3 linked regions of the Saccharomyces cerevisiae S288C genome follow. The protein of the gene in region 1 binds, or shares a complex with, the protein of each later gene. Each region holds a gene or a part of one and is shown on either strand. Other genes may lie near its edges. The genes, in order: POP4, POP3 and POP6.

Region 1 (3,502 bases):
ACAGCACCCATTGAAATCCAAGAACAATGATAAAAAACACGCACTTGAGTTCTGACATTTCTATATACTGATGAAAATCTTCTCAACAGCAGCGCTGAGGCAATACTGAAGAGAGCACCTTGGGCAGCTCCTATACATGATGCAACAGTAATCTACGAATGAGAAAGAAGGTTAATTAGACTTGTGTTAGCGATTTATTCTGGGGTGAACAAGACAGGGCCAGATATATTCTTGAATTTTACATACTTCTTTAGTTAATTGTTTAACAGTTTTGGGGTCATAATGAATGGGGAGAACGTTACCACCCATAGTAGCAGCAGTTTTTGTGTCGTTGGTATTTAGGGACGGTTGGTTACAGTGGCAATAATTGGAAAGTTCTTTCACAACAACACAAAAAAGGTGGAGAGAATAATTTGTACGGAAAAAGTTATACCTTTGCATGTCACGTGAACCAACAGAACATGGTAATACATAATGAAGAGAAGTTGCCTAAGTACCTTAGCTACAGTACCAAGTTCTAATCTCATCATTATCACACATTTACAAGACTATTTTTGCAGCAGATGGAGAGATCACTTCAAAAATGCGTTTATGAAACCTATTTATGACGAATTTTTTATTTATTTATTTAGGTAGTTTCTAACCTTCTCCTCGATAATGTTTGAGATCATAGTATTCAAAGTACTATCTTTCTTTGATATTTGGTTTTCCAACGTTAATAGAATTTGCTTCTCAATAATCTTCCCAGTCAAATCTACTTCAATATTAACCTCGTCGCCAATTTTCTTCAAAGGCATGATAACATTGTCTTGGGTGTGCTTTATCATACTAATATAGAAGGCTCCACCTTGCGAAAGTGGGTCAACCTTGATTATGGTCAAGGAAGTTCCATCTATACAAATGAATCCCTTTTCTACTATGTATTTAAAGTACTCTTGATCTCTTAACTGAAACCCAAAAATAATTGAATTCCCCTCAGGTCTTCTTGAGACAATATTAGCAACAGTGTCTACGTGACCCTGTACATAATGACCACCGAACCTAACGTCTTGAGATACCGCTCTCTCCAAGTTGACCTGGGTGCCTTGAATCCAGGAAGCGACATTACTTCGTTTTATAGTTTCTGGTGATATCCCAACTTTGAAGGAGTCGTTATTAAACTCGGTCACAGTAAGGCATACCCCATTTACGGCTATTGAATCTCCAACGTGACAATCGGTGAGAATACTCCCCGCATTGCCAATAGTAATAGAAACTCCTTGACCTCCACTTTCAGAGTCATCATATGGGTTGTTTTCCAAAACAGTCCCCATGCATTCTACAATACCAGTAAACATTGTGCTATGGTTACGATCTCACCAATTGGTTTGACATGTACGTTAGGAAGTACCGTCTTTTTATATCATTTGGATGGATCTGGAATATGACTAATAGATAGTTCAATAACCTTCCTCCATGGAAATTACCGAAAAAAAAGAAAAGGACGGAATTGGTACCCGGAGAGTACTTGGGCGGCTACTTTAGTTTTATATAAACCAATATCGAAGACAGTGATCTTTTTACAGCGAGCTTGAACACAAAATAACTACCGGGGGTAATCGTTCCCACAGAGGCAACATTAATGAATCCTGGGTTAACATTAATACCTACGCGACAAAAATCAATAAAAGAGATTGCTAGCCATAAATGAAAAAAGAGGAAAAAACATGCAGATTGTTTTTGAGCTTTTATGTCATAACAGGTGTATTTATAGCAGTATGAATAGTTTTACTAGCCAATATTCATTTTTTTTGAATCGATGTAAAATTTTTGGATACAAGAAAAATTGCACAATGTTAAATTTCTACAGAAAGCTCATGCAAAGGATGGAAAACTGAGCATTACTGGCAGCTTTGTGGGGTAGTTAAAGAAGTTTATTCTCCGTGGTTGCAGCTGTGGTGGTCTTTTTACTGCCTTTATATCCCAATTCATCCGCTTTTTACCCGGTCCGTTGATTTGAGAAAAAAAATGGTACTCAAAATAGTATGGCAAATATACTCGATGACATGAATAAGCGGAGAGCAATAATCTGTAAAGACTAAAGAAAATAAGCACGATTTGGACTCCCCTATTTGTCAGAATGGATAGAACTCAAACGTTTATTAAAGACTGTCTTTTCACGAAATGCCTGGAGGACCCTGAAAAGCCCTTTAATGAAAATAGATTTCAAGATACGTTGTTGCTACTGCCAACTGATGGCGGATTGACTTCAAGGCTTCAGAGACAGCAAAGAAAATCAAAGCTAAATCTTGACAATTTACAAAAGGTCTCCCAGTTAGAGAGTGCAGACAAACAGTTGGAAAAAAGAGATTACCAAAGAATCAACAAGAACTCTAAAATCGCATTAAGAGAGTACATCAATAATTGTAAAAAAAATACAAAAAAATGTCTGAAATTGGCATACGAAAATAAAATTACTGATAAGGAAGACCTTTTACACTACATAGAGGAGAAGCATCCAACGATATACGAATCATTACCGCAGTACGTTGATTTTGTACCGATGTATAAGGAACTATGGATTAACTATATTAAAGAACTTTTGAACATTACAAAAAACTTAAAAACATTCAATGGATCATTAGCATTATTAAAACTATCTATGGCAGACTATAATGGTGCGCTGTTACGCGTTACAAAGAGCAAAAATAAGACTTTAATAGGCCTTCAAGGCATTGTGATCTGGGACTCTCAGAAATTTTTTATCATGATTGTCAAGGGCAATATAATAGACGAAATAAAATGCATTCCAAAAAAGGGCACAGTATTTCAATTTGAAATCCCAATATCAGATGACGACGATTCGGCATTGAGATATAGTATACTAGGCGATAGGTTCAAGTACAGAAGTGTGGATCGTGCAGGCAGGAAGTTCAAAAGTCGTCGTTGTGATGATATGCTATATTATATACAGAATTAGTAAGAGTTATTACGTACTTCCATTTGCTTCCTCTTCATAAGAGTTCAGTGTTTCCTGAAGTTGTCCCTTTATCATTTCCAATAGTTTGGGATCCTGTAACTTAGACCGTACATAGACATCCAAGTCAAATTTCTTCTCACCATCACCATTATCCCCCTCCATTTTACTACCCAGCTTTAGGTAGTTGTCCTTGACCAATTGTGATTCAATCAATGCACTGGTTAGCCCTCTGTTTTTAAATATTAATTCTTCATCTTCGTTAACCATTTCTTTAACAGTACTGGCAACTCTTTTCCGAAGCGCTTGTTCAAAAGATTCACTATTCTCTTCTGTATTATTCCATGGGTTAGACAATATTTCTCTTTTCAACTTGTCAAAATGTCCCTCCTTCTTATACTTGTCTGATAGTCTTTTACTATCTTCTTGATTATACGCCATTTTTTGGATTTGAAATAAGCTCTACTCTCTTATACTGTGTTTCAGCTTCGCTAAATAAAGAACTGATTTTCTTACGTATTATTTCTCTAGTATCTCTCGTTTTCA
Region 2 (3,250 bases), on another chromosome or scaffold:
GGTACTGCTTTGTCTCTTCCAAGTCCACATGCTGAGAAGATTGGCGACGTTTTTTCCATACGAAAAAGAATAACGCCAGAGCCAACAAGGCAACTGTACCACAAACCACACCTACTACGACACCTGCGATGGCGCCACCACTCAAGCCTTTGCTCTTGGACGAGCTCGATTTCCCGTTTAAGAGAGAACTAGTAGAGGAGGACGTAGACGATACTGTTGCATAAACAGAGGTCCTGGTGGTAAAGATCGTGCTTGCTTGTTGGTTAGCTTGAGAAACCACGGACTGCGTCACCACACGGGTAGTGTAATGCGTGGAAGTACCTATTGAAGTCGATGAGGGGGTAGAAGTGACCGTTGCTGTCGAAGTTGAGGATGAGGTCGATGTGGTGGATGAAGAAGTTGCCTGCGTAGAGGACGTTTCTGAACTGGAAGAGGCAGAAGTGCTAGAGGAAGTGGTGGAAGGAGAAGAAGAAGTAGAAGTAGTACTAGAGGTAGTAGAAGTAGTAGAAGTAGTAGACGTAGAAGAGGAAGAGGATGAAGAAGAGGAGGAAGTAGTTGTCTCTGAAGAGGAAGTGGTAGTGGAGGTTGTAGACGAGGAAGAGGATGAGTGCGTAGCAGAAGAACTAGTTGAAGTTTTCGTGTCCAATTTCGTGGACGTTTTTGAACTAACACTTGTGCTTGATGAAGATGTTGTCGATGTTGAGGTAGCAGTAGATGAAGTTGAGTCCGCGGTAGAAGCAGCGTTATTGATATAAACGTTCATGGCAGAAGAACCACCACAATTTTGGTAGGGCCAGCCAGCACACGAAACATCACATTTGCTCGAATCTACCTGCGTCAAAGACTGTAACTGAGCTACGGAACCACCACAGTAGCAACCTGTACCGTTGAAAAGAGCAACGACAGCCTGACCAGGGCATTCATTTTGACAGTAGGAAACTGATTGATACTCGTAAACACCCTTGTAAGTCAACCCCAATTTTCGTATATCACTAGCTGAATAGCAAGCTTTATATGTGAATTGGTCAGCCAACGCGGCTCGTATATATATGAGCCACACTAAGATGAAGGACTTGTGTATGAGATCTAGGTGCATATTCCACTTCTATAATGCTGTTGGTCAAAAAGAAATTCAAAGAAGAAACAATTAGAAACCAGAAAGTCTGTAAAAATACAAAAAAGCGTGTCCTATAACCGAACAGCAATGTTTGTTTTCACTAGATTTGTTTTCTTTTGGCGAAAAACGAAGGTAGAAATGAAAGTAAAAAAAGAGCAATAATGGTAAATCAAAGGCTAGCCACGCTTTGAGCTATAGTTGGTCGTGCTGAGCAATAGTAAAGAATTGAAAAAGCGAGTGGATGATTTGAAAACTGCTTATATGTTTTACGTTGAGGGTTTCTCCTCTTTATTTCTTCGAAGGACGGAGGACAGGTATAAAGCAGTCGCTGGAACTCTTTTCCCTGACAATCTTAAAAAGAAAGACCGAAACAGAGTGTTATAAAACGAAACAAAAAACCTGCTGTAAATGCACTTCTGGGAGAAGTGCTAGATCACAACATACAAACATATGCAAATTCATAGTAAAAGGAGATAGGGCCCAGATGACCAAATCAAGAATGGCTCACTGTTGAAACATTCTGCTTAATGTCGAAACAGTCCGTAAACAAACACATTCCCACAAAACACCGCACCGCGAAAAAAAAAAAAAACAGGAAAAAACGCGAAATGTCCGTAACTTTACCCGGTAATAGTCACGTGATAAAGGTGCATTGGTCTAGCTGGCTGTTCTGGCCAACGCGACAGCAGGGTTCATACTTTCAGTAGAACAAAAATCGGGGGAAATGCGATGCACTCTTTAACTGCAATTATGCACATCCTATTGCCAGGGCGGATATTTGATGTTGTTCTCAGATATGTATTCCCTGATCTATACCGTTCTCATAGTTCAATTTTCTCTGATTTTCTCGTGCGGGCAATAAGTAAAAAATAGCATTTGCGTGCTTAAGTGAAATTTTTCAGATTATGAGTGATATAGAGATGAGGACTGTAACAAGAAGGAAGGTGAGGAAATCAAGACGGTAAGTAGCATGTCCGGGTCGTTAAAATCTCTAGACAAGAAAATAGCTAAAAGAAGGCAGGTGTATAAGCCCGTGCTAGACAATCCGTTCACAAACGAAGCACATATGTGGCCGCGCGTGCATGATCAGCCATTGATTTGGCAGCTGCTGCAATCCTCTATCATAAATAAGTTGATTCACATTCAATCGAAGGAGAACTACCCTTGGGAGCTGTATACAGATTTCAATGAAATTGTGCAGTATTTGAGCGGCGCTCACGGAAACAGCGACCCAGTATGTCTATTTGTGTGCAATAAGGACCCTGATGTACCGCTTGTGCTCTTGCAGCAAATCCCGCTATTATGCTATATGGCGCCCATGACGGTTAAACTGGTGCAGTTGCCCAAGAGTGCCATGGATACCTTCAAGTCGGTTTCTAAATATGGAATGCTGCTGCTGCGGTGCGACGATAGGGTCGACAAGAAATTCGTATCGCAGATCCAGAAGAACGTTGATCTGCTTCAGTTTCCCTGGTTAAATGCTATCAAGTATCGGCCCACATCTGTCAAGCTGTTGAAAACTACAGTGCCAATTGTCTCGAAGAAGAGGCAAAAGTAGACAAAATTACCCGCGCAGGCCTATTTTTCTAGAAGACAGAAGAAAAAAGTGGGCAGAGAAAGCGAGGAAAAAAAGAAATACATATGAAGAAGAAAAAAGCTGAAATTTAAGCAAATACTTTTTGGACAAAATCATCAAACTACTACTAAAGTTTGAAACGATCGGAAAGTTACAACACATTTACGATAAAATATGGTTGTCTTGAATCCAAATAACTGGCATTGGGTGGATAAAAACACCTTACCTTGGTCTAAGGACTACTTGAACGGTAAATTAACGAGTTTGTCCACTGTTTCCTCTGATGGGAAGAGCAAAATTGAGTTAACCCAGGTGAGTAGCATCACCGGTGACTCCAACGTATCTCAAAGGAAGGGCAAGCCGATTTGCTACTTTGACTTACAGTTGTCGATGAACGTCAAAGTGACAAATTTGGATACTAATAAGGACGACGAGGATGATGACGGCATACTTGCGGACGGGAAACTAGAAATTCCAGAGTTTATGCATGACGAGTCTGATATTCCGATTTTGTCGCAAGGGTTTGATGCTTTTGATGGATTGGTTAGGTCTGAATT
Region 3 (3,139 bases), on another chromosome or scaffold:
TTTATTTTTTTCCTTTTCTTCTCTTTACAGGAGTGTATCCAAACAGCGCTTCGATTAATCCTTTTGTAACTTCTTTAATATGCCTGCAGAAAATATATGCGGCGTTCTTTGTAACCTTTGATCTTCAGTAGTATCTAGCAAGCACCAAAAAAAAAAAGGAAAAGCAAAAGAGAGATGTAAAAATAAACGAAGGATGCGTGCTGGGTAGACTTTTAGTAGAACTCTAAGTGTGAAGTATATATACAAATAACAAAAATAATATATGAATAAATGCAGTACTTTATGAAACTCTATTCTTAGCACACCAGTTGAAATACACAACGTAAGCTTTTATTTTTGTATCTTGAATTTCGTGTCACACACTCTTTGCGTTCCTGCTCTCTTGTTCTCTGGTGAACTCGAAATAAGCAGTAGAGAAAATAAAGGAGAAACAGGGAAGAAATGGAGAGAACGAACGAGGCTTTATCTCATTTTATTCTACTCTTTGCTATATATACATACGTACACCTCATTTGCATCATACCGCCCAAATTTCTTTAGCCACAATTCCATGTTCGAACCGCGAACGTGAAACTGACGATCTTATCGTATGCATCAGCATCATCTCTTTTGGCGATTTGCCGTTACTAGGCCTTTAAACTGGTGTGGCACTGCCTACACCCCATCACCACTCACACAATAGTCCGTATGTCATGTGCTACGGCAAGCGCACAGCCACCGACTGGTGCTACTGGCACCTTGCTCCGGGGCGCTTGCCTTTAATCCTCGTGCCGCTCCACAAAATCGACGATGCTTTCGGCACATTCCCCAGGCTTCTCCGCATTTACCCAGTGACCCGCATCGATGTCACGTGTTTCAAAGCGTGGAAAGAACGCGCCGATGATCGGAAGATACTCGTCTACCACATAATGCGATTGAGTAGCCCTGATGAATAGCGCAGGCCGCGTCCATCGTTCACGAGCAGGATCTAGGGGCCACGCGGCAATTTCACCTTTGACAATGGCATCTTTCAGTGTTGCGAGGGGAATTCGTTCTTCGAATGTATATGACGACACAGACGATGAATTGTCCATCTTGACCTTTTTCAGCGCCGTTAGGAGAAACCGCCTTACTAGCTCATTGCCGCCGATCCTCTCTGCAAGGTGTTCATCAGCCTGTTTCAGCGTGCGGATAGTTTTGCCCTTGTCGTTGACGATTTCCATCAGCGCTTTGATGTATTCGACAAACTCAGCGTTAGGGCGCAAACTCACCGGAGCGTTCTCTATACAGACTAACATCGAACAAAGTTGCGGGTTTTTCAGGACCAGCATCATGGCAACTTTACCACCCATTGAGTGTCCTATTATAATAGGGCCTCCATTGGTGTTTAATTCGTGCTTTGTGATAAAGTGTTTCACGTCTTCCGACATGACTTCGTAGTTATGGACTGAACTGTGTGGTGAGGATCCATGATTTCTTAGGTCCAGCAGATACACGTCTCTTCCCAATTTCTTGTTAAGGTTACGGCCAATGCTTCGGTTGTTGAGCTTGTTACCGAATAAGCCGTGAAGTATGATAATAGGTGGTCTTGGCTTCCCTTCATCCCCAGTTTTTACTGCATCTCTCTTGATTATGTCATATGAAAGGTCCAGTGGGACTTGCTTTTGTTGCAGCACCTTTGCTAATGAATGAAAGGCACATAGTGACTGCTTAAAAATGCAGGAACTTAAATTATTCCGAATGGTATTTTGTCTCACATATATTGTCCCATACTGTGCCAGGATCCCGGCTTTACCCAGTATCATCATTGTACCGTTACCAATTCTCCTCGTATATCACGGTTAGTTTTTAAACCTCGGGGTGACGTTTACTATTGGCGTACTAATATATTCTTATTTTCTTTTCTTTTTTGTTGGCAGTTTCAAGCAACACATGTACTGGATAACCAACCCCCGCACGCTCTTGGAAAAAATTGAGAAGGCATCGGACACTTGCTGATGAGTATTTCGAAAAATTCCATGAAGATGAGGCCAAGATTGTTTGGAAGAGATTGAAAAGAAGAAGAAGAAAAAAAGATAAAAGCAAATCAAAATGATCAATGGCGTATATTACAATGAAATTAGTAGAGATTTGGATATCTCTTCCTCCACTCAATGTCTTCGGTTTCTCAAAGAAACAGTTATACCGTCCTTAGCAAATAATGGTAACAACAGTACATCAATACAGTATCATGGCATATCGAAGAACGATAACATTAAGAAGTCTGTAAATAAGTTAGATAAACAAATCAACATGGCAGATAGAAGTTTGGGTCTACAACAAGTAGTTTGTATATTCTCTTACGGTCCACATATTCAAAAAATGTTAAGTATTTTGGAAATATTTAAAAAGGGTTATATTAAGAACAATAAGAAAATTTATCAGTGGAATAAATTAACATCGTTCGATATAAAAAGAGAAGGCAGAAATGAACTACAGGAAGAAAGGCTCAAGGTTCCAATTTTGGTCACCCTTGTTTCTGATTCAGAGATCATTGATTTAAACCTACATTCATTCACCAAACAATAAATCGACCAGCTCTTTAGCATCCATAGCTACTTCTTGCATTTGTACTTTATAATATAAAGCATTTTTAGAAGGCTTAATCGATATCAGAACTACCAATTGTTCCTACTACAAGAAGTATGTGTCATTGAATGAAAGAAAAAAGGATGCATGGAAATAGCACAACTTTATTTATTTTCTTCCCTTTGGAAATCGGAAATTCAATGATATGCCCTCTGATATAATAGCAAAGACATGATCGTTAATTTAGGCCTCGCTTTGAATCCATAAACCACCGCAAAAATGCAAAATCTACGGATCTTCGAAGAGGCCATGTTTATGTTGGTGAAGTTTGTCACAAGAACCCTAAAACTTTCACTAACATATACAGTCTTGACCCATGACAATAAAGGAATATGGAAAAATATAAAAAAAGATTGTTAGGCTCCTACTTAGCAACTTTTCTTATTTCCATATTCTAGTATCAGTGGTCACTGTGAAGTAGTTCCCTTAAACAATTTCTACTTTTCACTAGATATAAAGTAAAATGAAAGTATGCCAAATTCGTGTCTGTGTTAATGCGTGTTTTTTAATAATTTTGTTTCGACATACAAAA

Evidence for each region.
Region 2: POP4 (region 1) and POP3 share a complex: the UniProt entries of both Saccharomyces cerevisiae proteins name them as parts of the nuclear RNase P and RNase MRP complex.
Region 3: POP4 (region 1) and POP6 share a complex: the UniProt entries of both Saccharomyces cerevisiae proteins name them as parts of the nuclear RNase P and RNase MRP complex.

The regions. Positions count from the first base shown.
Region 1 is NC_001134.8:726,766-730,267, forward strand, and holds POP4 (RNase P/RNase MRP complex subunit), read left to right. Parts: upstream 1-2,119; coding exon 2,120-2,959; downstream 2,960-3,502. Other genes in the region: RCF3 (Rcf3p), read right to left, coding at 1-152, 247-309; RIB5 (riboflavin synthase), read right to left, coding at 621-1,337; SHG1 (Shg1p), read right to left, coding at 2,969-3,397. UniProt on the Saccharomyces cerevisiae protein: Required for 5.8S rRNA and tRNA processing; associated with RNase MRP and RNase P.
Region 2 is NC_001146.8:105,600-108,849, forward strand, and holds POP3 (Pop3p), read left to right. Parts: upstream 1-2,087; coding exon 2,088-2,675; downstream 2,676-3,250. Other genes in the region: WSC2 (Wsc2p), read right to left, coding at 1-1,096; HCH1 (Hch1p), read left to right, coding at 2,868-3,250. UniProt on the Saccharomyces cerevisiae protein: Required for processing of 5.8S rRNA (short form) at site A3 and for 5'- and 3'-processing of pre-tRNA.
Region 3 is NC_001139.9:545,089-548,227, reverse strand, and holds POP6 (ribonuclease P/MRP protein subunit POP6), read left to right. Parts: upstream 1-2,070; coding exon 2,071-2,547; downstream 2,548-3,139. Other genes in the region: NAG1 (Nag1p), read left to right, coding at 928-1,419; IMO32 (Imo32p), read right to left, coding at 759-1,787. UniProt on the Saccharomyces cerevisiae protein: Component of ribonuclease P, a protein complex that generates mature tRNA molecules by cleaving their 5'-ends. Also a component of RNase MRP, which cleaves pre-rRNA sequences.